Linked DNA regions of Xenopus tropicalis. The protein of the gene in region 2 interacts with the protein of the main gene of each other region in a biochemical or structural test. Links are inferred from orthologs where the notes say so. Each region holds a gene or a part of one and is shown on either strand. Other genes may lie near its edges. The genes, in order: tollip and tom1.

Region 1 (16,030 bases), about 100 Mb from region 2:
TGCTCAGGTGTTGATACTCACCAGTATCTAGGACTGATTGCATGCTGTCAGGAAGCGGTATACTATAATACACTTACTTTGTAAAGCACAAAGGGCACATCCTAGCAATCACTTATGATGGAGGGCCAATAATTGTGAGACCCATCTTGGATTTCTTGGCTATTATAACAGGGACAAAGTTTGCAGCAGCTCTAGAAACCACAGCAACCAATCAGCAAAGGAAGATTTATTATTAGTTAGCTGTATGAAAGCAAACATTTCATTGGTTGCTATGGGTTACCGAACCTGAAGCATATTTTGCATGTTGCTACCTTACTCCATACGCATATGCTAATGGATTTGGACCAGACTGAGAAGTATTTGACACAGGAGCTGTTTTAAGTAATCAGCAAGGAACACTGACATGCTGGCCCAAATGAAGGCCCATTTGAAGTCTAGTCTAGCATATACATAACAAAGAGCATAACAGGCTGCAGCATTTTGGACAACACTGCTAAAAAAGAAGGGGCAGTTCAGCTGTACCTTCAAAGTAAATAGCCCCCAAGTCAAAAAATAATAACAACAATGGAAACCAGAAAAGAAGCACTAAATAATAATATCTATATTACAGATTAAAAGTGTGTGGAAGTGTTGGGATTCATCAGGACCAATAACAATGCTAGAAAGAAATTAAACAAATGATGCCCTTTGTAATTGTATCTACATCTCCCCAAGTGACCCCCCTGATACACAATGACAAACTACATCTTTCAGAAATAACCATCACCTCAGTTGAGGAATGCTGGGATTTGTAGTTCTGCAGCAAATGGACTCTTCAAGGTTGACCATCCCTTGCACAGTATAATCAGCATATAAACTGTTCAACCTTGGCTGAGGATGCTCAAAGTGGTAGTTCACAACAGCCCCGGGGCTATGCATTTGTTATATCTACAGATAGAAATCTCTTCACATTAAGTGAAGTGTTTGCACTATGTACAATGACATGGACTGGGGAAACTTCTTTCAACTCAGCTGTCACCTGTGATGTTTGCAGAACACTAAAAGTGTAATATCTGGCTGCGCCTGGAATGCAAGTGGTTAATCCCCGAGGACCTTGCTCAGTGAATAATGTTGCTAGATTGCGTTCTGTTCTTTTGTGGATTATAACGTCAATGGAATTAGAGGGGTGTAACAAGAACACTATCCTTGAAGTGAACAGCCTTGCACAACAGAGATCACTAGGAGCAGATAAAAGTCACCACTTCTGACTTCAACACACTTAGTACCTTTATATATATATAAATCTGGATGGGTGTATTAAAGGAATGGCCCATTGTTCTTAAATAATAAGTATGGTATGTGAAGAGGCACTGAGCAGTTTAAAATCATCTCTTTAGCATTATGAACTAAGTATCATTCCTAAAGATATTACCTATAGGAATTTATAATACACTTGAATGTGATGGTGTCCTGAAAACTTTTTCAGCTCAGAAACCTGTTTTAATGGCTAAAACAAGCTAAGGCTGAACTGTATTACCCAGCATCCCCTGACAGCCTTTTGTAGTGCACCAACAGCTGGAGATTACCCCTGCATACATAGGTTTCTAAAGCTAATGCTTGTTCTTTTTCGTGTTATTGATGCATAAAGAGGTCCACCAATATATTTTGTATAAATCCAGCATTGCACAGTATATCTAATTATACAGGTACAACATAATCAAAGTGATTGAATTTGTTTATAGTTTTATATTGTTACTGGGTCGTGTTCTGGTACTGGAATGCGTCACGTGAAATCTCAGAACTAAATTTTGCAGTATTGCTCTGGCAATGTTTGTACTGGCACATAAACTTGAGTTAAAGGCGATTGCTTTGTGGCAGTAAGGGAGCCAGCGCATAACACAATAACTGTAGCTCATTTGGCTCGGCGTGCACAATGACAAGGCATTCCTATGGGCAATATTTAATATTTAGCGCTAAAGTGAAGTCACTGGGCCAGTCCCGAGCAACACTGGTATTTCCTGTTAAGCTTTGGTTTCAGAGCAAGACTGCACAGCACCAGTGCTGGTCCAAACATTGGCTCAAGGCCTGCACTACACACCCTTGCGCTGATACCACTGCTTAGTGCAATAATCTTACACTGTGTAATTTCATACTTGGTCCAATTTCAAACATTCCACTGCTTAAGGTCATTCTTTTGTATGGCTCCAGGATCTAACTACTGGTCTAAGCTGTTCATCTTTTTTTGACATCTTGTGTTATGACCTCTATTAAGTTGCTTTTTTAGATTTTGTACGCTGCCAAAATATTGACTGTCTCCACCCCGTTACTGACCGGGTAAAGAAAGGCCTAGGCACCTCAAGCAAGCAGCTTTGTGAGCCCATCCCGCAGATACTATGATTGATATATGTACAGAAGCATCCTTCACTTAATACCATTGCCAAACACAGGTCCTCCCACAGAATCGTGGACCCCCCCACCCGCATCCTCCCTCCTACATCCTTATTGTTTCCGGCTGTACCCACCTGTCTGCCCTTTCCCCAGCGTCTTCTCCAGCCGATATGGCCCCACATATTGCATGTGTGGTATTCCACTACCATCTTTCACCACTGTGGTCATCTTGTCTTCTGTCTTTCCACGGGGATCCAGATGCAAGGAAAATCCTCAAGAGGAAAGGGGGGAGGAGGACTGGGATGGAGAGGGAGGGGGGGGATGGCTGTGTTCGCTTCTTCTCCCCCCCTCTCTCGGTGAATAAACCTGTCCGTTCTTGAGACGCCCAACTGAGAACCTTTTGGAGCTCACCATCAATAGGAACCTGCTTGTATCTCGGGCTTCTGTACCTTGTCGTTCCTCCTGTCACGAAGCAGAGCACTGAAGACTCAATGTGATGAATGAAACAAAAAATAAATAAATAAATAAAAAATTAAAACCACCTCACTACGACTGCACCTCCCTCTCTTTCTTTTTAGTTTTTTTTGCAAAAAAAAAAAAGAAACTAAATATTGCAAAATTTGTAAAGTAAGATGATAAGAGGGAAGCTGGGGCTACGGTGCAGGGAGCATGGTGTAGATGCTGCCGCCTTACATACAAGCAGCTCAGCAGGGACCTGCTGATCAATCCTCACGCTCGCTGCTAGAAGGGGGAGTGCAGGGGGGGTTGCAGCCTACTAAAGCTGAGATGTTAGGTTGGCTGTGATTGGTGTACGCTAAACTCTATTCCGGTTGGAGACTCAGGGATGCATTTTAATTGAACTAGGGGGGTTACCTTGTGCGTAGGGATGTGTGACTGTCTTTTATTTTATCATTGTGCTCAGCTGTGCAGTACAGTAATAATACACATCTGTAACAATGCAGGATGCAATCTGTGGGAGTGTGAATATGCACTGATAACAGTGCATATTATCATTCCCACAGATAGCATACTGCAAAGGTATGTATTATGGGGTTACCGGTGCCTTCTCTTCTATGTTCAAAGTCCAGTACTTTCCATTATTAGAAGCAAAATATACATTACAGCACACACCTACTTCTCTTTCTGTAAACAACTGCTTTTACCAATACACTTTTAACCACATACTGATCCCCAAATAGTGGCTCGTCATTAACATGTTGCTCACCAACCCCATGGATGTTGCTCCCAGTGGCCTCGAAGCAGGTGCTTATTTTTGAATTCCTGGCTTGGAGGCAAGGGGTACTGACAAACAGAACCTCCTGTAGGCTGCCAGGCCACATAGGGGCACCCCAACTCGTTTTACATTTGAATGTGGCTCACAGATAAAAAAAGGTTGGGGACTTCTAGCCTAGAACATCCAAGGGGAAAAACAGAAACTGAAAGCGCATATTCTACTGTCTAACATTTGAAAGGTGTTCCTGCAGCTCTCAAGTAGTTGCAAATCCCACTGGTAGTCATAGTGCAACAGCTGGGGGGCTGCAGATTTATGTAATCCAAACCATATGAGGGTGCCAGCCTTTCTGCATTGCCAATGCCAGCCTTTAGCCCTGAAATTTAAAGTAGATACATTATGCCCTGCTATTGTACTACACTTTAATGCACAGTAAGAATATGTAAGCTGTGCACAGAACTATTGCTCCTAGAGAAGGTGACACCATGCCTAAAGAAGGTGACTGGTTTCTCTCAGGGATGTTTAGTGTAAGGGTACAGCACAGCATACCAGTATGTTTCACTAAAGGGGAAGTTTATTCACCTATACATATATCACTTGGCATCATTCTGCTCCATATATACCTGCATTCCTAAAGGGGTAACACCCCCAAATGAACACTAAATAAAACAGTTCAATGTACTGTCTCTGTCTGCTCTGCTTGTCCGGAGTCTTAAAACAAGGTAGCAGAAGCCACCTCTCCTCCAACCAAGATTCCTGTTCCCATAAAGCCTAGCATGTTCTATAACTAAAAGACCCCTGAGAGAGAGCTGACTTTTGCTACATTTTTTTTTTTGCAACAGCTAGAACAAACTGTGCAGACAATAACAATGGCCATGGAGATACTGAGTTTAATATCAATAACATTTACAAATAACTTAAATCATTTATATTTATTATTTAATGGGTTTGGGAAAGTTGCATAGAACTAGACCTTCTTTCTTCTCCAACATTTATTTTTCATTATATGGGTGGTTTTCCACTCCTCCTACTCCTATCATAAATTCGTAGGCATGCAGTAAATGCTCAGACTGTCTGTCGGACAATATGGGAGCTTTCTCTCTCTAGAGGGAATGTTTCCTGGGCACAGTATAATGGGTGAGCTTGGGAGTTGGAGCACTGGTCAAGTTCTGTGTGCACACTCCCCCTAGTGGTATAGTATGAAACAGGCAGGAGTTTGTCCTCTGGGCTTTCCCTACTCTTCAAGGGGTACAGTTTTAATGATGCACAAACTAGGGGGGCATCCAAGGGGGCACCCATGTGCCTTCCGCCTTGACTACAGCACCACTAAACTATGTGCAGGTCTTTACAATGCCAAAAATGGTGACGACAACATCACTGCAAAGCTTTGCATTTCCAGCTGAGGGATTGGGGTGCGGTGCCAGCAAAGGCTGTTTCTCAGAGAGGAGGTATGGGGGAGTGGTGCCAGCTTCAAGAGTCAGGTGAAGCGGCTGAGAAGGGTTTTCCCAAGATGTAAATGTGTACCCATTTAATTCAGTGTTGAAAAGTGTCAAATTTGGCGTGCTGTAATCGGGGATGCTAGAAATCTCTACAAACAATCATGCTGACATTTAAATATGTCAATAAAACAAGACAGGAGGACATTCTAACTTGTATGTATTACTAACTTTTTTTTCTTATATGAAAATAACAACAGTTTCACAAAAAAAGAAAACAGTCACTAAAAAGACTACAGAACATTTCAATTTTACTTCATCAAACTTACCTGTGGCGATGATTTTCGCCGGTAGTTATGGATTGCAACATAGTGTGCCCGGATAGTGGGGCCCAGGTCATGAGAAATCACAGGGTCCCTCACAACAAAATTTTCTTGGCATCCTCCTGCTTCCTCCGGCTCCGCCCCCCCTCACGTCCTCCTGCTTTCTCTGGCTCCCCCCCCAGCATCCCCTTGCCTCTTCCAGCTCCCCCCTCAGCATCCTCCTGCTATCCCCCAGCATCCTTCTGCTTCCTCCGGCTCCCCCCCCCCCCAGTGTTCTCCTGCTACCTCCAGCTGACTGTCTCTCTCCTCCGGCTCCCCGCAGCGTCCTCACTCTTATGACGTTACATGTACACACGGGGCGCGACCAATCGGATTACTCGTTGACCACCAATGACAGGGCCTGTACTTGGGGGGCCCCAGCTAAAAAAAACTGTATCAAGGCTGGGCCCCCCTTAAAAGTGAGAATCGTCCGGGCCCTGGATGACTGTCCCCCCTGATGGCAGCCCTGTGGGGCCCAACAGGACTAGAGCCTACCGGGTTTTCTCCTGGTGTCCCAGCAGGCCAGTCCAATGCCGCGCTGTTTCATGCATCTACACATTATTTTCTGCACCTACATATACTAAAGGGCAGATTTATTAACATTCTGATTTTCATGGTTTTACAGTATTTTGAAACTCATGTCTAAACTCGTTTTCACAAAAGTCACAATAAAAAGGCTTTAATAAAAGATCCAAATTGAAAAAGCACAAACAAATAAAAAAGACACGGGAAAATGCAAAAAACGGCAGCTTTTTCATAAGTGAGGAAATACCTTCCAGTTGTAAAAAGGGACACCTGCCATTGACTTCTGCTCTCAGCAGCTTTTAGATGGCGCATTTTTTCTTTCGGATTTCCTGCGGTTCTGTAAATCAACTTTCCTGTAAATAAATCGTATTTTGGCACATATGTTCCAACTGTGAAAAAATAAATCGAACGTTAGCAAATGCCCCCTTTATACGCCCTTACACACCCTTTGACACACCCACACAATACAAATATTTACACACCCATTTACACACTTACACATTCTTACTCTGTTTTACACACAATTGTACAGAATTGTACTCATTCACACAAAGATAGCAAGGCTGGTATTTTTTCCTCACAGTTTTGCATTTAGTAGAGAGCAACTGTATGACATGAATAACATATAAAATAAAAATGTATTTGAAAAAGTTATTTAATTTCCCACTTAAAAGTTGGATTTATGGCCTGTGACAGAATTAACCAATACTGATATAAAATCACACACGACACCCATAGGGAACAGTTTCCTGACATATATGTACTTAATAATTTTTCTATCATTTCAGTTTCTATATTTTATCCTCAAAAACAAGAGCCAACCTGTGTCCTGAGGCACTTTAGGCATTCTGCGCATGCGTGCGTCCGGCAGGTCAGGTGACCGAGTTGCTAGCGGAGCCGCCGCTAAAACCGCAAGCGTCTGATGCCTTACTGCGCATGCGTGTGCGCTGCAAGTCAGGTGACAGATTTGTTAGAGGGTGTAGCAGCTAAAACAGGAAGTGTCTTGGAGAAGACGAGACCGGAGAGATAAGAGCTGTTCAGAAGCCATGGCAACGAGTATCAGCACCCAGAGAGGCCAGGTGAGATAGAGTGGAGAGAGGTTTTGGGGTGAAACGGGGTGTTTAGGTGGTAGGTTCAATACATGAGGGGTGATAAAAATGTCGGGGTATGGAGGTGAGACCCAGCCCCAACATAAGGAATGCGCTGCATTCCTGGCTAGTTTGTAAATAAGGTGACATTGAGATCTTTGATATTTGGAATGTATTACCTCGTTGACGGCATGTTTTCCTTTTAAACGCCACAGAAAACCCCTACATGCTGTGTAGCCAATCAGCTATTAAACTGCGTTCTGCGTGGCTGTACATAAATCAGTGCAGCCTGCAGCAGCTCATTTTTCACCTAGTTATGTAGGATATGAAATTAAAGAAGCACTATCCGTCTTACTCAACAACAAAGGGTTACTAATAAATTGGCTTGAGCTCAACTAGTTTTTTGTTTTTTTTTGCCTATTTGAATCGCGACAGATCTATGGGTTTTGTTAATTTTTTTTGAGCTGGAACAGGGGCAAGCTGAGAAACTGAGGCTACCCCATGTCTTGCAAGGTGAGTAATTAGATTGCAGCCTGACAGATATTCCCATTCATAATGGGCTTCTGCTTTTTTTCTAATTCAAAACAGTAACAATAAAGGGTGGAGCTTGTTTGTACAGAGGGCATTATCTCTTGTTAAGGTGGCCATACATGGGCCAACCAGTATTTGACCCACAAGCCTAGAGACTTAAAGGGCAGGTTTGGTATGAAGGGCCCTAAGTTTTGTGGTTGCTGAAGTCTTTAGCAGTCCTATGGCTTTACATTCTAGGTCTCCTTGTACGTGCCCTAAATTGCTTGGGCAATATGGACATATTTAGCCAAACTCTCGGCCGCCTATCCCTATCCCTTAAAGCGGCTAGAGTTGTTCGAGTGTTAAAGCCCTGATGCACTGATGTCTCCCGTTGGAATGTGGCTAGGTCATGTGCTTCAGCCGCCTAAGCATTCCACTCCCAGCGACCAAGATAGGATATGGGCCGTAAACATCTTAGTTTGTTCCTCACATGTACAATATGTATTTATCTGTTTTTACATCAATTCTTTAGCTTCAAAGCATCTGTGATGCTTTGATGTCCTCTCTTTACTTTTGTCCTGTAAAGACAGCTTTGCAATATATATTATAGGTATGGGACCTGTTATCCAGAATGCTCGGGACATGGGGTTTTCCAGATAAGGGGTCTTTCTGTAATTTTAGATCTACTCACCTTAAGTCTACTAAAAATCATATAAATGTTAAATAAACCCAATAGGATTGTTTTGTCTTTAATAAGCATTAATTATATCTTTGTTGGAATTAAGTACAAGTTACTGTTTAATTACTATAGAGAAAAAGGAAATAATTTTTAAAAATTAGAATTATTTCTTTTAAATGGAGTCTATGGAATTTTTAATGGAGCCTTTACGTAATTTGGAACTTTCTGAATAATGGGTTTCCGGATAAGGGGTCCTATACCTGTACTTTAAATGGTTTTCAGTGGTTTTCGAAGTTATATGTAAATGTAATTGCTAGTGAAGGCAGTAAATGCCTGGCTGTTTATAGTCTCAGCACTACTGTTTCGGAATCCTGAAACAATGTTGCAATAGCTAGCCTCAAAACAGCTATGGGTTTTGTGTCATGTGAGTGTTGTAATGATGCTTTCTGTTCCATCCTTTGAATGGAAATTCTACTGAAAATATTATACCCTTTCATACTAATAACAAATATTATCTACTATTTTAACCCGAGTCAGGGTAACCCAAATGTTTTTCTTCCTTCTCACAAATATCACCTTTTACTTGTTGGTAAGACTCTTTTTTTTTTTTGGCAGGACTTTTTTGGTGGGTTTTTGTATGTGAGCCTGTACCAACGGGCTAAGTCCTTTTGCACGAGTTTGCAGCAGTGCCACTTTTCTTTGGTGAATATATATAGATATGTCTATAGGACCCATTATCCAGAATGCTTGGGACAAAGGGTATTCCGGATAAGGGGTCTTTCCTTAATTTGGATCTATATACCTTAAGTCTACTAAAAAATAATAAACCATTAATTAAACCCAATAGGATTGTTTTGCCCCCAATAAGGGGTAATTATATCTTAGTTGGGATCAAGTACAGGTACTGTTTTATTATTACAGAGAAAAGGGAATAATTTGACCATTAAATAAACCTAATAGGGCTGTTCTGCCCACAATAAGGGGTAATTATATCTTAGCTGGGATCAAGTACAGGTACTGTTTTATTATTATAGAGAAAAGGGAATAATTTAACCATTAAATAAACCCAATAGGGCTGTTCTGCCCACAATAAGGGGTAATTATATCTTAGTTGTGATCAAGTACAGGTACTGTTTTATTATTACAGAGAAAAGGGAATCATTTAACCATTAAATAAACCCAACAGGACTGTTCTGCCCCAATAAGGGGTAATTATATCTTAGTTGGGATCAAGTACTGGTACTGTTTAATTATTACAGAGAAAAGGGAATCATTTAACCATTAAATAAACCCAATAGGGGTAATTATATCTTAGTTCGGATCAAGTACAGGTACTGTTTTATTATTACAGAGAAAAGGGAATCATTTAACCATTAAATAAACCCAATAGGGCTGTTCTGCCCCCAATAAGGATTATTTATATCTAAGTTGGGATCAGTTACATGATACTATTTTATTACTACAGAGAAAAAGGAAATCAGTTTAAAAATTCTGAATTATTTTATTAAAATGGAGTCTATAGGAGACAGGCTTTCCATAATTCGGAGCTTTCTGGATAATGGGTTTCCAGATAAGGGATCCCATATCTGTATATAAGTGGGAGTGTGAGTGAATACCCTAGGATTTTTTCAGCATAATCTTCCTGCTATGTTCCTACCCTTTGCACCGTTTTTGTAGAAAGGGAAGGAATATATAATATAATTTGTACATATTAAGTTGGAACTATGGCTTATAACAGTAATGGTGTCCATAAACTATTTATGAGCTAAGGGGGGCCCTCAACAATGGTTCAACCTTCAAGGTGGGCCTTGAATTGTATCTTTTAATGTTTGACTGTTGGACATGCTGACCAAACTTGCAGCATTAAATGGAAAAGTTGCGCTTACCACTAAACAATTTAAACCATTTGGCAGGGGTACAGTGAGGTTGTGGCCATAAAATTCATACCAACAAAGACCAGAGGTCCTCTCCACGACATTAAAGGGGAAGTCCGGCTTCCAAACCAAAATTTGTTAGAGAGCCCCACACAACACAGAAACCCCTAATATACCTATCACTGTATCTATTCCTTCAAAAAGTATGAATAAATACCATTTTTATATGCTGAAATCCAACTGCAAAACAGTTCTTCTCTTTCGGGATCATTTAAAATCAGGCAGGGGCAAAAAGATTGATGTTACAATTTGGAATTTTCCTGCAAAATATTTGCCTTTTTTTGGTCGTAACTGGGATCACCTGACTACAGCTGGGAATGTTGGGGGTTGCAGCATGGAGCTGGCCTCTGCTGTAGTATAAACTGTAGCAAAAAAGGGAAAATTGTGCTCGCCACTAAACAATTTAAACCAATAAGCAAGGGTGCAATGAGCTTGTGACCACAACATTCACATTTATCATTATAATGATTGAGCAGAGTCTGACTGCATTACAATGGATCCAGGGGTAAGGTGATCTAAGGTACTCCAACACCAGACCCCAACCAGGGGTTGCATGTTTTTAACATGACCATTACCATGAGAAGCAGAAAGGAAGGAAAAGAGAGGACGACACTGCAAAAGAAAAACAAAATCTTGATGGAAAAAGCATGGCTTAAAGTAGATACCACATTCATGAATTCCAGACACCTTGAAGCTGAACTCTTTTGCATATGTTATAAGTGAACCCTGTCAGTGTTATGTAAGATTTATAAAATGTCCCTTCTGTGGGGAAGGTTATAATAAGATATTGTGCCCAATGTACAGTAAGGAAAAGGTCCAGCTTGTGTTTGCTATGACTGTCCTGCCCTGTGACTGGCTTATGACATGGGTGCAGCTCAGTGTTATAAAATGTACATCATCCGTGGTATATGTTACAACAGTAACTCCTATTATTTGTTAATGAGCTCTGTATAAACAGGCCCCTTGCTTTACCCTTTATTGTGACTGTTTTGAGAAAAGCGGAAGTCCATTATGTGTGGATATATCTGTGCAGTGGTAATCTGATTGTCCACCTTGCAAGAACCAAAAGGTTGGGGTAGCCCTTATGTGTTAAATATTTACTGGTGCTATATAAATACATTATAATGATGGTAGCCAGTTGCTCTCTTTCTCTTATCATTAGTAATGGCGTGCCTAATGGGTCAAGCACATTTAAGACAACAAATTACTGGTGGGTTGCAGCCCTCACTAGTAGTAATGTCAACCATGTCTGCAATTCACTTGGGTTTAGTGGGTTAAAAGATGCCAGCCTGGCATCAGAATTGCATCGTATTTCTGCACTGCCCTTTAATATAGCAGTATATATATTGGGTCTGATTCAATTCACCTAAAGTGTATTGAGAAATCTGAAATTTATTTATTTTTTTTCTATAGAGCTCAATTTGACCCAATAAATTTTTCATGAATGTGTTTTCGGATGTACCATCCTTCATTTTTAGTATCTCCACAAGATACTGTTGTACCCAAATACTAAAGTGAATTGAACGGTCATTTCAAAATGTAGTCAGTACTGATCAGCACTGCAGATTTTTTTCCCCTGTCTATCCCCAAAATAGTTACAGGGGCATAGCATTAAGTAGTATTCCATAAATATATGTGCATGTTTGTATATATTTATATAATATACAGGTCCTTCTCAAGAAATTAGCATATTGTGATAAAGTTCATTATTTTCTGTAATGTACTGATAAACATTAGACTTTCATATATTTTAGATTTATTACACACAACTGAAGTAGTTCAAGCCTTTTATTGTTTTAATATTGATGATTGTGGCATACAGCTCATGAAAACCCAAAATTCCTATCTCAAAAAATTAGCATATCATGAGGTTCTCTAAACGAGCTATTAACCTAATCATCTGAATCAACTAATTAACTCTAAACCCCTGCAAAAGATTCCTGAGGCTTTTAAAAACTCCCAGCCTGGTTCATTACTCAAAACCGCAATCATGGGTAAGACTGCCGACCTGACTGCTGTCCAGAAGGCCATCATTGACACCCTCAAGCAAGAGGGTAAGACACAGAAAGAAATTTCTGAACGAATAGGCTGTTCCCAGAGTGCTGTATCAAGGCACCTCAGTGGGAAGTCTGTGGGAAGGAAAAAGTGTGGCAGAAAAGGCTGCGCAACGAGAAGAGGTGACCGGGCCCTGAGGAAGATTGGGGAGAAGGACCGATTTCAGACCTTGGGGGACCTGCGGAAGCAGTGGACTGAAATGGTGTGTGCAGGAAATGGGCTACAGGTGCCGCATTCCCCAGGTCAAGCCACTTTTGAACCAGAAACAGTGGCAGAAGCGCCTGACCTGGGCTACAGAGAAGCAGCACTGGACTGTTGCTCAGTGGTCCAAAGTACTTTTTTCGGATGAAAGCAAATTTTGCATGTCATTCGGAAATCAAGGTGCCAGAGTCTGGAGGAAAGACTGGGGAGAGGGAAATGCCAAAATGCCTGCAGTCCAGTGTCAAGTACCCACAGACAGTGATGGTCTGGGGTGCCATGTCAGCTGCTGGTGTTGGTCCACTGTGTTTTATCAAGGGCAGGGTCAATGCAGCTAGCTATCAGGAGATTTTGGAGCACTTCATACTTCCATCTGCTTCCATCTGATTTCATTTTTCAGCATGACCTGGCACCTGCTCACAGTGCCAAAACCACTGGTAAATGGTTTACTGCCCATGGTATTACTGTGCTCAATTGGCCTGCCAACTCTCCTTACCTGAACCCCATAGAGAATCTGTGGGATATTGTGAAGAGAAAGTTGAGAGACACAAGACCCAACACTCCGGATGAGCTTAAGGCCGCTATTGAAGCATCCTGGGCCTCCATAACACCTGAGCAGTGCCACAGGCTGATTGCCTCCATGCCACGCCGCATTGAAGCAGTCATTTCTGCAAAAGGATTCCCGACCAAGTATTGAGTGCATAACTGAACATAATTATTTGAAGGTTGATTTTTTTGTATTAAAAACACTTTTCTTTTATTGGTCGGATGAAATATGCTAATTTTTTGAGATAGGAATTTTGGGTTTTCATGAGCTGTATGCCACAATCATCAATATTAAAACAATAAAAGGCTTGAACTACTTCAGTTGTGTGTAATGAATCTAAAATATATGAAAGTCTAATGTTTATCAGTACATTACAGAAAATAATGAACTTTATCACAATATGCTAATTTTTTGAGAAGGACCTGTATAATATACTTGTTCTTATTCCTCTTGCTGATATCTCCCACTAACCCCCAAGGCTAATCCAGGGCAGCTGTTGCAGCCGCACCTTTAGTGATTCAGACTGGAACAATTCAATCGTTGAGACCAGTTCACCTTTGATTTTAGTGCCTGGTACAAGTAAGGAGCTTCTCCTACCAGCTGGAGGATAGCACTTGTTTTGTTATAAAAACACTTTACAGTTGAGGATTACCGCATATATTTTAGCTTGGGAGCAGGGTTTCTATATAGTAAAATGATATTGGTGCTTGGCAGTGCCCTTGTTGGTTGGGTATGGTTAGAGAACATGACCAAATGGTGGGGTTGTAGAGGCGCTGGGTAGGAGGGTAGCTGCCCCATTTCTCCAGACCCTTGCAAATCATGTGAAAATGCCTTCTTATGTAAAGTGTTTTACACATGGCAAATATTAATGAATCCGGATGGTAAGGTATTTTCTGGCAATTTCTCTTTTGCAGGACTGGCTATTTCCCACAGGTTCCAAATCGCTTCTTTTGCCATTGTACTTAGGCACAACAGGAAATGATTACAGTCAATAGGCTGGCCATATCTATACCTATAAAATATTTGTATGCTTTTTGGTATGTGTATGTTGGATGGACTATCACAACTTAAATCCAAGGTACAAAGATAATGGTCGGAAACAGACAGGTTTGAAAATTTAATCTGCCGATGTACAGTGTTGGCCGATGTATGGTGCTGTTCAGCTGAGCGGCTGATAGGTCGGAGAGTGTTTTGCTGCTTTTCCATCAAGGCTAAAACTGCAAATTGAGTCACTACTGGGTAGAAAGACACCTTTATATTAACTTTAAATTATGTTAAAGATGGAACTGTTTCAAGCTATTTTTTCACTTGGCCTTCACTTGCTTATCTTTCTTTTAAGATATTTTCCTACTGATCTTCCATTCTAACTTTTAAACTGCTGCCTGATTGCTATGGTAATCAAGCCCTAGCAACCATGTAGAAAATTTCAATTGTGGAGCAATTTTGGGGGTTTTGTGTTCATTGTTATATGACAAGGCACTCGCTCCTTATTTATTTGAATGGTATTTGCTTGGAAATGCAGCACTGCCCTAAATGCTTATGTGTTAATTAATGGGCTCAAGATAGAATCTGTGACCCCTTGGACTCGATAAGCTGTCATAAATATGACTGATCTCTCAGCCATAAAGCTAAACCCTCCCCTATTTAATCATTAAACCTTTTCCATCATTCATTTCAATACCTTCCCCACTGCTGAAAGTTCCTGGTTCTTTCCAAGCACAGATACAATTATTAGATTGCAGTCTTGACCATTTAGTGTATATTGTAGAAGAGGCAATGCAAGTGAGTAGTAGAGGAAGGGCAGAATGAAGTAGAACAGCTGGACCAGCCCCATTCAGCCCCATTCATCCTTCTGTGAGTATATTGCATTACACTGATCCAAGGGCAGGCATATGCTACGGCACACTTATTATGTGTATGATACATTGAGCATATAGGCTCTTTAGCATAAACAAACGTTTATTACTATTCTCCTCTTTCAGGGCCGCACCCGTAGGTGTTTTAGCTGTCACCCATGCCATGTTGCAACAGCTCAATCATGAGCTCCCAGAGTTTAAAGGGACACATATAATAGTTTAAAAACATCGTCCACAGTGCCCCAATTTCCTGGGGATGACACTGGGACAGCCATTCGATAATCCCTGTTTTGACTCACTAACTCTGTGGAATGTCTACTCTGGGTTTCTGATTATTTTACTATTTTTTGGCAGTGATGGTGGACTTGAGGCACAGACGGCTGGCTGTATGATCTTTCACAGCTACAGGCAACACACAGACTGCCTGACCTTAATGTGCGCTTTATGGTCCCTAAGTGTGCTCTAGGCAAAAGGTCTAGATTGGGGTTTAAACTATGCCCTGGCAAGCACACAGAGGCCTAAAAGGCCCTCGGCCTGCCCAATAAATAGTGACTGTCTGTGGCAGGGGTCCCCAACCTTTTTTACCCATGGAAGGTCACACTGAAATGTAAAAAGAGTTGGAAAGCAACACAAGCATGAAAAATGTACCCTGGGGTACCCAATAAGGGTTGTGATTGGTTGTTTGGTAGCCCCTATGTTGACTAGCAGCATACTTCTGTTTGTCAGTACACATGGTCTTTATGCAACCAAAACTTGCCTCTAAGCCAGAAATGCAAAATTAAGCAGCTGCTTTGAGGCCACTGGGAGCAACATCCAAGGGGTTGGTGAGCAACATGTTGCTCGCGAGCCACTGGTTGGGGATCACTGGCCTATGGCATCTTAAAGCATCCCCTCTGGCATTTGCCAGAACCCACAGATTGCAAGTCTGGGTCTGGTAGAAAGAGTAAAGGGGTTCAGCAGCAAGCAGTGATAATAGGAGCAAAGTGTTGTCCTTTCACCTGTGTAAATTAAGCCTATTTGTGAACATATATGTATCGGCCCAATCATTTGGCAGAAACATCATCCCATGTATATCTGTCTTTAGCTATGAAAGACTGTCGTTGGGCCCAGGTTCTTTGTAGTAGAACTGGGTGTGTGAAATTGATGCTTTTGTGAATAGTCATTTCCAGGCCTTTGCAATCAATGTCTCTAGTGATCAGTTACTGGAGATGGTGGTTGGATGCTTTCAGTGTCCTTTCCTGT
Region 2 (15,467 bases):
GGTGTGTGTGCTTAAGAGTGAATTGTCCTTATAAAGAGTTAAGCTGGCCTCATAATTTACCCTTAAATAAAATTATTTGTCCAAAACAACCTTTGTCCTCCTTGCAAGAGGGCAACTTAAGACCTATGGCTGCTCATTTATTATTACAGTACCAATTTGACCCATTGCAGTATTCCATAGCAACCAATTAGAGACTTGCATCCTTATTGTATATATACACACTTATTAAAACCAATTACTAACTAACAATCAATTTGGCCTTCCACGCATGAGGCCATACTGTGCTATTATCATAATAAGAAGTAACCCATAGCAACTTATTAGCAATTGCCTTAAATCTGTATACTGCTGTAATAATAATGAAAGCAAATGTCTGCTTAGTTGCTATGGGTTACAGCACTGGGGCACAGTATTAATAAATTAGCTGCGGTATGCCCTAAGCTCCTTTTTTCAAACATGGTGATTTAAGATGTAAAGTGTTGCAGCAAAACTAACACATACTGTTGTGGTTATCAATATTTTATGATCACAATAGATATTGTTGGCACAATATAAGGGTTTTACAATTAGTGTGACAGTTAGGGCAAGTAGTACCCCATAAAGATATACAGATCTGGTGCATTAATATCGTGTACAGCACGCTGCACTCTTTCCTCCTTACATATTCTCGTCTGCCCTTATGAAATTAGATTTGCATGTTTGCCTGGTCATGCTGCAACTTTAATGCCAAGTGTATAAGGAAATAAGCACAATTTTGTATCCAACTTATAGAAGCATTATTTAAGACACTGGCTTCCTACTGTTATACCTCTGCACCCCTGATAGGTACTTCTGCCCAACGCAAGTACCTCTTGTTCTGCCTGCTACTTGCCATCTGCTGTAGAAACTTCCGTCTCAGCAGCCACAACCATCCCCAACACATAGTGGACGGAAGTGTGCGAGTGACCGTGTAGTAATTTATTTTTCTAACTGCACCCCTAGGCAGCTGCTGACTCCTAGTTCTGGGTCTAGATATACTATTGGTGCTCTGAGACTCTAGAACATATGGCAGATACAGTTAGAGGACAATGACAACAACTGTTCCACCTTCCCCATTTGAGGCTGTTGTAGGCCAGACCAGACATGTTAGTAGATGCTGCCTGCATCTAATAACTAACTTGCATTACTGGTTCACGGTCTTAAGGTTAACAAGATAACATCAGAAAGACACACTTCAATGTCTGCCTTATGTTACTTTCATATCAATAACATTTTAGTAACTGAGCCAGTAGAATACTAGCTGTTGGGCAACCAGACTTCAGCAGCACATTCACACTGTAGAAGACTTTATTAAAGGATAAGGTAAGGGTAAAGGGGCCCAGTTTGCAAAAATTCATGCTTGCACTGGTATCTATTATACAGGAAACTGCTAACCAGAAAGCTCTAAATTAAAGGAAGGCAATCTCCCATAGAGAATTTAAGTAACTTTTATTCATTTTTCTAAACTGTACAGTACATATTTGTGGCAAAACACTTCTATTGAGTTTCTTTCATGTTAAAATGATTAGTAGACTTAAGGTATGGTAATCCAAATAAAAAGGAAGAACCCCTAATTCACCAAAAAAAAAAAAAGAAAAAAACTTTTGTCCCAAGCATTCTGGATAATATATTCTATACCTGTATAATTGGCAGCATTAGATAATATATGAATATGACCTGACTGGAGTGAAGGGCCACAGCCATAAGTAAAAACTGAACTCATACTATGCGCCTATAGTTATGTATGGTTTTTGTTATTTCTTGAATGAAACAGGGCAAATAAGGAAACTGAAGCTACTCTATGTTTGGCCCTTGCAAGAAAGATAATTAGATTACCAGTGGGCATTTAACCCCCCCGCACACTGGACAAACTAGTCACAATAAAAAGGGAAAGGTTGGGATTGTAGAATTCCAATTATTATTGTAATCTAATTATCTACCATTCAAGAAGCAGAGTAACTTCAATCTCCCTCTTATTCCCGTTGAACTCAAATACCAAAAGTAAGGTATTTTTGCAATTAAAATAACAAGTAAAAAGTATGTTCAGCACAAGCCCTATTCAATGCAATTTTCTCACCAGGCTATAAAAAGACTACACACATTTCACGCAAGTTGCCACAAGCAGCAGGTTCATATGAAACTAAAGTATCAGAGTTCTGCAGTTAGCTTCATCTTTTTAATGTCTTTTGCCACCTAGTGTCAGATGTTAGTAAATCTTGCTTAGTACAGACATGAGAGTTATTACCCATGCTTGATACCTGGGGGTTCAAACATAGTTAGAGTTTTCTTGTATCCTTGAGCAAAATGCGCAAGCCATATGGCACAGGGGTCATTTTGACAACTGTTGTGGGAAAAAAGTGGTAGTCAAAATGCCCATAGCCATATACTAATCACCTAGTAAGAAACTACTTTCCACAGACGCGTATGGTAAACAAATGCATTTCTGGTTTGTGCTAAATAAAGGATACAGCATAAAGCACTATATTTTAATGCCCCTTTCATTTTCAGAATCAATTAACCTTAAAGAGATACTGACACCATACTGACACCTTTTTTTACATCTGTCATAACATTGTCTTTGCATGAAAGGTTGGGAAGGGATGATCAAAATGACCTATAGGTAACTTTTATGTACATTTTTATTTTAAAGAGCAGATTTTTAGTGTTAGTATCACTTTAAGTTAAAAGGCTATTTAATTTCTGTATGTATTACGTGCCCCGTGTATGTATTGTTTTGTATATTGTGCCCCAACCCTTCTATTCTGCACTTTGCTCTCCCCTTAGACTTCTTATTAATTTGCCACATACTTTTAATTTCTCTGCACATTCAATTATCCCCTTCTCTTTTCTTTTTCTGTTCCTATGTACATTTTTCCCCTGCTCCTCTCATTCTGCCTTGACCCCTTATACACATCCTTCTCTCTTGATTCAACCTCCAGTCCTTGCCACTCTGCTCCCATCTCATCCTCATGCAATCACAATGGGCTGCCAGCTGACAACACTAAGATTTCCCAACACTATAATATACCAGCAGATGATATATAAGCAGATGAAAGGCAAAATACAAAAATAAAAGAAGACTTACTGATTCCTGCTAACTGCGTAGAAAGAGTCGGAGCTGAATTAGAGGGCGTTTCCTCGAGGTCAATAAGAGATGGGGGAAGAACCCTGTCTCTTGCAACCTATCAAGAAGGATAGATAGAAGTAAGAGCAACATGTCCACTGGGTTCAAGGACTAAAATTATGGTGAGAAGAAAAAACAGAATATAATGAAAACATAGGGAGCAAAACATGAGTACATGGGGTGTTCTGATCACAATGATGGACTTAGGGAGAACTACAGTCATCCAAATACTCATCCACAACAACTATGGTTGAATGCAAAAATGCGCTGCCCTACAGCACAGTGCATGGTCATTAAGTTCGAAATGGGCGACTTCCATTTTCCGAAAAGATGCTTGCTTGATAATTATGTGCCAGAGGGAAGTATGTTCCAGAATGGGTAGAAGCTGCTGGCAGAAAATAACTTCTTAACTGCAACAGGTTTTCAAATACCCTATTTGTGTGCCATTACGATGAACTAACTAATATCCAGGTATAAAACTACTTTTTTACAACAGTCATTATCTATATAATAGTCTGTGCATATATAGTGATTATTATTTCATTTTTAAAGCCTTGGTTGTTCTGAATGGCACTGAAAATTACTGTGTAATGTTTTAATCTTTTATTTCAAAACTATCACTCTTTTCATTGATGGTAGAATTCAAATCACCATCTGCATCTTACAGAATATAAAGTGAGAGTGATTATTAAAACAAAGAGACAAGGACACTGCAGCTCAGTGTGCAGGATGATCAGCAAGTGAGGTAAAAGAACATATTTTGTTACAAATGTCTATTTGGGAATGAAAAGATTTCTGTAGTATTTTATAATGTGGGGAAGATTGCTGGCTACATACTTTATCTCTGCAGTACAGTCTGTGCAGCTGACACTGAAATGGCCAGTTGCAGATTCTGAAAATCTGATTTGTATGTTTATGACGTGTAAAATAAAGGTGCTCCCTTTGACATGCTTTGTTGAAAAGGTTATAGTCCAGAGTCATATTTAATTCTAAAGCAAATGAAGAGACAGCAGGAATAACTATTTAGAAAAGTAAGGATGAAGTATATTTGGAAAAGTAGGGAGCTTAAGGTAATATCAGAAAATTGACACTGCTACAGTCAGATGCAGCATCATTAGATCCTACTTTTATTAATCATGGGAATGTAGGTCTAAGTGTTACAAGCTGGTTGTGACTGTTATCTGGCACTTGAAATCTTTATGTCTTGTACAGATCATGTAGCAAATCTATTTCTAGAACTTGTTAAAATTACCTGTGCCTCTGCTACTGGGCCTTGCTGACCAGCGAGCATCCTCTCAAACCTGCAAGCAAAAGCTGCATTAGACAGACAATATTTGGAAAGCTTGTACTGTTTTATAGAATAAATTATCTGTATAGCAATTTAAATGCATTAACTATTAAACTTATCTAAAGAATTTGCTATAATTATCGGATTATCCTGAAATGAACAAGAGAAAAACAAGTAGGTAACTTACAAAAAAAACAAAAACAAAAGACAGAATGGGGTTAGTAAGCAAATCAAATCATTACTTAATCCTGGAAAATTGCATTGGTGTTAATACTGGTCTTGGCCTGTAACAATGAAGATAAATATCTTTCTTTGTACATAGCTGTGATGTTTAAAGGAATACTGTCATGGGAAAACATAATTTTTCAAAATCAGTTAATAGAGCTTCTCCAGCAGAATCCTGCATTTAAATACGTTTTTCAAAAACACAAATTGATTTTTTTATATTTAATTTTGAAATTTCACATGGGGCTAGCCGTATTCCTGATTTCCCAGGGTGCCACAGACATGTGACCTGTGCTCTGATAAACTTCAGTCACACTTTACTGCTGAGCTGCAAGTTGAAATGATATTATCCCCCCCCCCAGCAGCCGATCAGCAGAACAATGGGAAGGCAGCAAGATAGCAGCTCCCAGTAGGTATCAGAATAGCACTCAATAGTAAGAAATCCAAGTCCAGCTTGGGACTCCTCCAGTTACATGGGAATAGGAGAAACAATAGGTTATCTGAAAGTATACCATAAAATTCATGACATTATCCCTTTAAATTCCCAGGTTTAAGGCCTCTTAGGTGGATTTCAGGTGTTTGGAGAGCTGAACCATACAATGAGCCAAAGTCCCCTGCCATCGCCGATCATGTTTAATAGGAAACACCTAAAAGTGCCAGAATGGCCACTTTCCAGGTAACAGCAGTTTAAATGGACGTATGTCTTTTTTCAACCCAACTTACTATGTTACTATGTAAATAGGTAATCTTAGCAAACCTCAGCACAGTTTTAAAATAATATTCTCAATTAGAACCCTTACTCTATATCTCTATAGATTTATTACCTTTCATGGCGAATGAAGACATTATTGAGGTTATCATTCACAATAAGTAGCTCTTCAGTCAGCTGTTCATGGGTTACACGGGGGATTAGCTCCAAAACTCGCTGCTGCATTGCTCGGCACGTCCGATTCAATTCCTGTGCAAAAGAAAAGCAACTGTAGACATTCATTAATGAAACACATGGGATTATCATGTTTTCAATCTAAATGTCATTTCACATTTTGCCATGTTCAATTATGTTGTTGCAAGTCCTCTCTACAGTGTACATTTCAAACCACCATTTGCCATGTGATTTCCAGCTGAATTGTGCCCCCCCCCCCCCCCCCCATTCACTTGAATGGTAACTGCCTGGACCCACACAGTAAACTTGAAAACACTGCAATAAGCAATTCTAAACAATAATTGCCTGACCCACAAGTGCACCATGAGGTCCAGGTAATTACCATTCCAGACACTGGAGGAACTGCCAAAATCTTTAATAAAAAAAAAAATAACGGGGGCGTTGCCTGTGCTCGGTGGATAGAAGACGTGTTCTAAGCCTTAGAACACGTCTTCTATCCGCCGAGCGCAGGCCACGCCCTCCTCCGCATCACATCCACATCCGGCATCCTTGGGACCCACCCTACCTTGCCCCTGCGCTCGGCGGATAGAAGACATGTTCTAAGCCATAGAACATGTCTTCTATCCGCCAAGTGCAGGCCACGCCTCCTCTGCATCGCATCTGGCATCCTTGGGACCCACCCGACCTTGCCCTGCAGCATCCGCGGCCAAACATATTGTACGGCTCTCCTGGAATTACATTTTAAAATATGTGGTGTTTATGGCTCTCTCAGCCAAAAAGGTTCCTGACCCCTGTGGTATGGTATGTAAAGAGACCACAAGTCCAACACTAGCTGATAAATCTCAGTCAGAAACTAAACAATAACAACATTTTTATTGATTCCGATAGGAAAGATTTACTGCCCCACCTGTAACAGCTCCACGTCAGACTGCTTGGCTGTCTGAGGGACCAGCTCTGTCAACATCTCCGACATCACCTTTGCGTTACCATTCACAATTTCCAGCTCGCTGTGAAGCTTTGCCAACTATTGCAAACAGAAATGCCATTTAGGGACCAATTTCATAAAGTCTGTTGTCTGACATATTTAGGTAATGAAGGTCAAATAGAGATGTGCTTTCAATGTATATTCTTAGTAACTGATATTTTTAAAACAGTTCTCAAGCTTTACTCTTTACAATTTTTTTTTGGTATACTAATAAGAACTAATGAGAACTGTGTGCCAGGTAATAATTAGGCTTTCCTTTTGGAAAGAAAGACAAAATATTTGTTTACCTGATCAGGTGTGGGGGTAACTGCAGTGTCGCCAGAGGCTGTAGCTGGAACATTGTATGGGGGAGGCTCAGAATGTACTGACCCTCCCCTCTGAGGAAACTCTGAGGAAGGACAGTCCTGTTGAGAAGGGGATTCTGGTGCAGAGAAGCTCTGAGGGGAAATATGACAAAATTAGAAAATAAAGAACCACTGGGAACACCAAAAAGATCTTTCCCTTCCATCTCTTTGCACCAAAATATGGTTCTATTACATTTACCATTACTTCACTTCATCTAATGTGAACTAATATAAAACAATTCAATTACACCTTCTACAAAGTAGCCTCTATCTTTTAAAAATTTGCACCCAGGCCAATGCAGTGGCTCCAGGTGCAGACACACAACTGAGAGGATGCCCAAGGATTTCCTACCTGTGCCAGTACACAGGCCAAGATCAGCCCCATGTAACATTAGCCTTCAAGTTGAAATAAGGCAATAGATAAAATGATTACATAGAGAACAGTTAAACTCTGTAAAATACAATGGTTTTGGATAATAAACAGGACTTAAATGTCATTCATGTCTCCCTACAGAACTACAGAATAAAAATCTTTTCACATAAAATGCGACATTTATGGCAAAGAAATAGTTTATTTGTATGTGCTGGCTGAACAGATACAACTTTTAGGGTGAAGACACAGAGAGCTACTTATTAGGGCTCTGGTACACGGGGAGATTAGTCGCCCGCGGCAAAACTCCCTGCTCGTGGGCGACTAATCTCCCCGAGTTGCCTTCCCCCTGCCATCCCACCGGCGAACATGTAAGTCGCCGGCGGGATGGCAGACGCGGCGGCGCGATTTCGCGCAAATCGCCGAAAAAGACTCGCGAGGCTTTTTCTGCGATTTCTCGAAATCACCCCGCCGCGTCTGCCATCCCGCCGGCGACTTACATGTTCGCCGGTGGGATGGCAGGGGTAGGCAACTCGGGGAGATTAGTCGCCCGCGAGCAGGGAGTTTTGCCGCGGGCGACTAATCTCCCCGTGTACCAGAGCCCTTAGAAGCTACTTGTCACGGCTACTGAATGCAAGAAAATACTCAGCCATAGACAATACTGTGAATTGACTCTGTTAAAACATACATAGAGACACTTATCAGTAAATAATCAGCATTGTCTTTTTCTGTAGCCATGACAAGTAGCTGCTACTAGTAGCTCTGTGTGTCTTTACCCTTAGGGGCTAAGGTACATATGATGTTTCCTGAAAATCCAAGCGATTTCACTTACTTTTATCAGCCAAGTGTATTTTTAAATTACCCATGATTCGTTTTACTCCCCCATATACTTTCCCACAAAGCCAACATGACATTACCTCTACCCAAACTTGTCCCTTAGACCTTTCCTTTTTAATTTAGTACTGACCTGGAGGTGGACGTTAAAAGTACTGTTTCTGTTTTAGCTAATGATACTAAATTGTGCAAAAGTTCCATGCAGGATGCTGCCACTTTGCAGAGTGAATTGACAAAATTGGAAAACTGGGCAGCAAACTGGAAAATGAGGTTCAGTGTTGATAAGTGCAAAGTTATGCACTCTGGTAGACATAATATGAATGTAAGTTATACACAAAATGGTGGCTTGGGGGTATCCTTACTTGAGAAGGATCTGTGGATTTTTGTAGATAACAAGTCAAATTCCAGGCAATGTCATTCTGTGGCTACTAAAGCAAATAAAGTGCTGTCTTGTATAAAAAAGGGCATTGACTCAAGGGTTGAAAACATAATTTTGCCTCACCCTGAGTATGCAGTGCAGTATATTTGAGGGGATTATAGACAGATAGGGATGGATCTTTTTCCACCCCTTTAGATCAGAGGAACAGAACTTTCATTTGAATCACTGTAGGCGCAGAAACGCAGAGCGTGACATAGCCCTAATAAAAGTTTTAAAATTAGGATTTTTTTTTGCTTTACATCATTAAGGAGCCATTATGATTGACCCTCCGGCAGAATCCCGTTCCTGGTAACTTTATTAACTAATTACAATTTTAGCACTCTAGAGATATCTAGTTAGGACCAAGATACCATAGTATTGTTTAGCTGGGGGCTATAAAGAGTGGCTATTAAAAAAAGCATTAAATCTTAAACTGCAGACTATAATTTCTGCCAAGGGGATCAATAAGGTTGAACACTGGACTGTTGTTGATAACAAAAAAGGACAAGTGTTCAGCGTATGGTATAGCAGACAATTATAGAAAACACAGCTTTATAGAACAAAATTAGGTGAGTAGTTTTATTGAATAATGCTTACAAATCACTTATATACTTCATCCTATCTGTTGTATGATGATAAATTAATTTGCATGCTGTTTTTTATTAGTATTTAAGCTTGAGAGTGTTAAGGTGGCCATACACGCACTGATATTATCATACATGTATAGTGAGAGATGAGGCAACCAAGATCGGCAAAAGCCGACATTTAGTGCTGCATCAGATGGGGTAGAATTCTTTTGTTTCTACCTGCATATCTGACAATTCAGCTCTGAATGTTAGTGGAGTGTATAAATAATCTTTCCTACAACCAGTGGTTGCAGGAAAGGTCATAACTGTAACGTGTATGGCCTCCATTAAGAAGGCTCTCATTTAGTACTGTCCTATGACTTCTCTAGCTTTGGGAACTACTTAAAATTCCCCCATCCCACTTATTCACACAAGTTCCTTACTGGTTGCGGTGTGTGTATAGGAGACAGAGTGTCCAAATCAGTCATTGGAAATTCCAGGCCTTTCCTCCTCAAATCTTCATATACACTGACCACCCCAGTCAGGTCTGGAGAGCTACGGAAGGCATCTGCCCAGGCCTACAAAAGAGAGGTTTAGAAGGTTAAGATCATCATTCAAGTTTATTAAAAAAAAAAAAAACCTAAAAAAGGTAGATTGGATTACAAATGATCCCAAAGGAGATCTGACACATTCATATAATTCATAGGAACTTTTTTATAAATAAAAAGAGGTGTCAGCATTACTAGAAATTAAGGTTTGCAATCTTCTTTCATTCTTCTGAGTCACAGTACAGAACAATTAAAGCAACAATTTCCCTTTAAAAGGCCTCTCTACACCTCTAAAAATGTCATAGTATAAGGGATTACCTCTGGCACTATAGAGTTCAGGAAGCCCAGTGAGGAAACCAAATGTCCTAAAGCACTACTTAATAAATCTGGCTAAGATATGGGTACTTTAATAACATTGCAAATTGCCATTTTTTAGCAAGTGAGGCCCAGTATATTACTTTTATTTTAATACACAAAGAAGATCACAGACTACATAAAAACCTCTTGTTCTAACCCAACACAGTGTTGAGAATGCTCCCTATAATCACCTTTACCTGTATTAGAATTAGAACTTTATCATGGACGATGGCTGGAGGGTTGTTTTTGGGTAAAATTGTCTTCACCAGAACTCCCTCCACAAACTCTTGGCTACCTACTAGAACGTGGAATCGATGACCGCAGTTTTTCACGCAAGTCTCCAAGAGCTGGAAAATTATTAAAAAAGTAGTAGTGAGTAAGAGTCAAAGAAACATTTTACATTTTATCTATTGAGACAGCAACATACATGCAGTAATCCTCAGCACATTGCAAGTACACACAGATGTATTCTTCAGCACAATATTGGTACACACATTAGTCAAAAGGGATTCTGAGAACAAATTCCTTAAGGCTCTTAGAAAAATCCCATTTACATGGGTTTATCCTATAGGCTACAGCTCACCCACTGGGTTTTTAAAGCAGAAGCCAGGATAATAGCTGATCAGATTCCCAACTACAGACCAGTTTCGCCCTTCTTGGGGCTCATCAGTGCAGTGCAGGGTTTTCTGATGGGATTCACGAACAAGTCAAAAGGGTTGAGGAGACCGCCTCATACGTATGCAAATAGTCAAAAGGGATTCTGGGAACAAATCCCTTAAGGCTTACACATTAGTAATCCTTGCCATGTTACAGATAAACACTAATAGCCATGAAACCACAGATACACAGTGAGTATAATCACAGCGCGTACATATGCAGTAGGCCTCACATACACATACACATACACTGAATAAAGCTGGCCATGCAGGCGCCGATATAAAACAAAGTTTCATACAATGTGTTGGCTCCTAATAATTGTTCCAACAATTTCCGTACTGTGGTGATCAGCTGTTTAGTCAATCAGATAGCTTAGAACATTTTTATTTTATCAGATAACAATAATATCTTTCTCACAATATGCACTGCCATCTGATGATATACGTCTCTGCTATTTCTGGAACATACTTTCCTACGATTATACATAGAGTTATCTTTATCTCCCTGCTGATACACACAAAGTAATCCCCAGCACGCTTTAGATGCACACTAAACAAAGATTACACGAGGTGAAGATTTGTCGGCCACAATAGATCTGCAACAAATCTCATGAAGATGCCTCTTCCCCTTGCCTAAGCTTCAGATTGTCTCGAGCACAACCAAAAAACAAGCTCTTTGCGTATACGTGTTGCATTTGGCATCTTCAGAGTGGGGTTGGTTTCACTTTCACACAAATAAACACAGTGTCATAAAACAACATTTTTATCCAATTTGCTAGGTCAGCAGTGTCTACTGACACTACCTGCTGTGGGAACCCTGAAATGATTGCCATATTCAGGGTGGTGGTAATACCAGTGTTCCCCAGTGTCAGTACATACCATTTATCAGAGCAGGCTGAGCAGGAACACTGGAGCTCTGTGCAACTATTCAAAAATGCAAGGATCCTGTTTGTCCACAAGTACCTTTAATCCATATGTCAATCTGCCTTGATTTTAGCAACTTTACAGTCATAAATCAGTTTTATATGCTTTATTCAGTAAAATAAATACCCCATGTAGAACTTTTTTAGAAATATTGGGTAAAATATCTCCTGCATCAAAAACCCATTAGCTACAGACTGGTGTTTTGCATCAAAAATACATTTTCAGTTGCTCTCATTAAGTGTATAATTTTTTTACCCAGAGACAATAATAATCTCAGTGTCCTATCTCTACAATGATTTTTTGAGAGAACATGGAAATTTTCAATATGTAGAATGTACCAAAACACTGGGCCACTCTTAATGATTACTAATAAACAAATCAACCCTTGGGCTCATCTAAGTGAGTAAATGATTCACAGAGCATGTTCCAATTAAACTCAGGGATTTGAGAACATTATGGAGAGAAGAAAATGATATGCCCTTTTACAGTCCGTACTAGAACTTATTTCTGTAAGTGGCATGGTTGGCTAATAACCTAACACTTGTGGGGATGGTTATAGATGAGTTCGCCATGATTGCATCTCCAGGCTGTAGCACTTCAGTCTTCAGAAAATATTTCACCAACCTCTTAAATAAGCTGAAAAAAACCCAATAAATCTGGTGCCTACATCTCACCGTTAATGCCAGCATCACCTCCCGAAAGTTCTTGTTACCCACAATCCTCTTCTTTAATGCTCGGATTGCATCTTTTGGCCTATAAAAACATGGTGTTACTGGAAATGAGGAAACCAAGTAAAACAAGGAGTTTTGTCTTGTGCTCAGCGCAGGAACCATTTTGCCATAAAAGAGAAGGAATAGATTACACCAGGGATCCCAAACCTTTTTTACATGCAAAAATTTCTGAGGGGTGCCAATTATAGCCCTAAGTGGACTTGCAGCCTACAGGAGATTCTGACTGGCAAGACACCAGGTTTTTATGCAACCAAACTTGCCCCCCAGGAAAACAAAAATAACCACCTGCTTTGAGGCCAATGGAAACAACATCCAAGGGGTTGGTGAGCAACATGTTGCTCCAGAGCCACTGGTTGGAGATCACTGGATTATACCATAGCTCCTATAGAATACTGCAATGACTACATGGAAGGACACACATAAAATCCTATATGAGATGTTATAGCAATCCCCATAATAAAATAAGGGTACCATTACAAGATATTGCAAGGTGATTGCATTTGACTAATCCACATGACCTGGTGACCCTTATAAATAAGGAGTTCCATGACCATATACAAGGTCAAAGACCCAGGTACTCTGAGGTGACTTCTAATATCCCTATTTTTTACAATAGCGAGTACATTAATCCCTATATATTCTCAAACTCAAATGTGCTCATTTTAAGGCTACAACATGCATCTTTGCAGTCTTTACATTCACATACAACATATCTTGGTCCTTACCCATCTTCTGTCTCATTGATAATATCACAGACCTCCATGTTAAGACCCCAGTCTTCTGAACGAAGGGATCCATCAGTGGCTTTTTCTGAAAGACAAAAATTAATTGTGTTGATGAACAAGGGCACTTTTGTGAAATAACAAAATGCAACAAGCAGAGGCTTGGCTATATATTCAGTGAGGTTTAGTTGTCTATCTTACATGCTCTTAATAAACAAGCCACCATATTTAGATATCTTAGGTCAAGGTGGGAGTGACCAGCTAGTTTCCTTCTGTCAGGGTTCTCATATATACAGTATATATAATATATATCATATATAACACAGTTCAAATGCTGGCACTGATGTTTAAGAGGAATATCAGTGCCTGGGTTCAGTCCAAAGATAGTTCCCACAATGTAAAGGAACCCGCACTCACAGGACTTATAATGCAGCAAAAGTGATTTTTATTGTGGAGCACACAAACATTTCGGCTAACACAATAGCCTTTGTCAACGACCCCTAAGATTAGCTTCTCAACCGCTGCCCAGAGCACATTGAGCATGTGTAGTGTCACTGACACTTTTCAAGATAGGGAGCTTCTGTGACAAGTTTGAAGTCCTGGATCAATGCTGCTATTGAGATGCTGAAACTTTAGGCTGGTGCAGTAACTACAGTATATAAAATATGGCATTTTAGCCATATGTATTTTTATGGTTTAGTTCTTCTTTAAGGAATAATTTTCTAGGAGTAGTCTCCCTCTGCTACAGCACACCTGACTTGTCCCCTCCCCTTTCTTGTCTTCTCTTTCTCATAAAATGTAAGCTCTTTGAGGTAACGATTTAACTCTAACTGAACTGAAAATCCTAGCACTTGTGTAATTACTCTGACTGTTTCATTTACATTAACTACAACCATTTTAGTGTTTATACTGTATTACGTTTTATTGTGTTTATGATTGCCACTGTTTCATTTATATCAACTGTGGCCCTCATTGTGTTTAAACTTTGCCAGGATTTTATTTATATAGCAATGCATACATTTGTAGTGTTGTTTAAATACAACAAAGCTAATAAATAATGTAATAATAAGTTGTTCTCTTTGCATATTTACTACTCCTGTAATATAAGAGCTAATGCCCTCTCTGCCCTTCCGTAAATGCAGTACTGAACAGAGGGTGAATACACAATATAAAAACACACAGCACCCAGCCAAGAACATTCCTTTCCCTGATTCAGACCAGATCCAAGTTATATAATTAGATGCATCCAGGACTCCTGGTCGCCTGCAACTGAATTCAAATGAAACTTCTGTAAGTCAGAAAGCCTTACATTCCCAAATCTCCCTTGTCAACGTTGGGAAAGGACTACATGGCTCATGCATTGGTATTTTTTAAAAACTACCAGTTAATTGGCTAGGTAGACATTTTGGCCCCATGTGTGGACAAATAAGTTCCTGGCTGGTCTGGAGTTGCCAGATAAAGTTGCTCATGTGAGGCCAGCTTTATTGTGTTAAAATATCACCATATAAACCATACGATCCATGTAAAAACCAAGAAATCAACATATCTCCAGTACTAACTGGACTACAACCAAAATATTCACTAGTAGTTGTGTTGAGCAGCAAAACTGAAAAACTGTTAACCACGTAGCAGAAACCAACAGAAGCCTAAAACCTTTAGCTCTTATTAATTATATTCAGGGAGACTGATCAGAGCTGATTGGCTGCTACGGGATACATTTGGCTTATAATTATTCTAGTTTTATGAGTTCCTAATATTTGCTGAAGTGATGCAGTCTTGTGTATCCCTATCCTACTCCAACAATGCATTTTTTGGGCCAAGTGAAATGTACAAATGTCTATGTTGTTATTCATGCAGTAAGAATGTACATGTTTTTTCTTCAGACTCCTAATGCATCCTAAATGCACTTTAGTAAGTGTGTAGGAGGAGATGGCAAACTGATGCAAAAAACAAACAGTATTTCTGTGCTCAGTTTTGCTAGTAATCATTTTACAATGTCTGAAAGCAACACATTACGTAAGAGAGATTATGGCTCGTTCTGAAAGGAGAACATTCTTGCTGGTACCATGTGACTGTCGTGCCTTCATAGAAATAGAATTGTCAACAAAATGATTCAGCACTCACACACACACACACACAAATATATTATATACGGTATATATATTGTGATATGCCGTCTGCCTGTACATGTAATTTCTGGGGGAAATTAGCTATGGTAGGCAGGTAAGCAGAGCATCTGGAGCAAGGAGACAGGGACACCACTTCTTCAGGCAATAACACAGGTTTATTTGGGCAAACTCTTCCCAACATAATGATAACAGGAACACAGTTCATCAGCGGTTTCAACAAACTTATTCAAAATTTGTCCCCTCTCTGGGACTCACAATGAATTTTTACATTCCATGGTGACCTGCAGGGCCCCTGGGGCAGGAGCCCTGGTGGGCCCTGCACCCCTCAGTCCGACCCTGAAGACA

The links.
Region 1: the proteins of tom1 (region 2) and tollip form a complex in vitro, tested with the Homo sapiens proteins (3 studies listed by BioGRID and IntAct, with this or other methods). The link is inferred for Xenopus tropicalis from reciprocal best matches to the Homo sapiens genes TOM1 and TOLLIP.

The regions. Positions count from the first base shown.
Region 1 is NC_030680.2:21,545,108-21,561,137, reverse strand, and holds the start of tollip (toll-interacting protein), read left to right. Parts: upstream 1-6,886; 5' UTR 6,887-6,967; coding exon 6,968-7,000; intron 7,001-16,030. Other genes in the region: serine/threonine-protein kinase BRSK2, read right to left, coding at 2,502-2,595. UniProt on the Homo sapiens protein: Component of the signaling pathway of IL-1 and Toll-like receptors. Inhibits cell activation by microbial products. Recruits IRAK1 to the IL-1 receptor complex. Inhibits IRAK1 phosphorylation and kinase activity.
Region 2 is NC_030680.2:122,023,620-122,039,086, forward strand, and holds part of tom1 (target of Myb protein 1), read right to left. Parts: intron 13,082-15,467; coding exon 12,997-13,081; intron 12,294-12,996; coding exon 12,215-12,293; intron 10,308-12,214; coding exon 10,158-10,307; intron 9,634-10,157; coding exon 9,499-9,633; intron 6,961-9,498; coding exon 6,811-6,960; intron 6,563-6,810; coding exon 6,446-6,562; intron 5,614-6,445; coding exon 5,480-5,613; intron 4,444-5,479; coding exon 4,395-4,443; intron 3,201-4,394; coding exon 3,104-3,200; intron 1-3,103.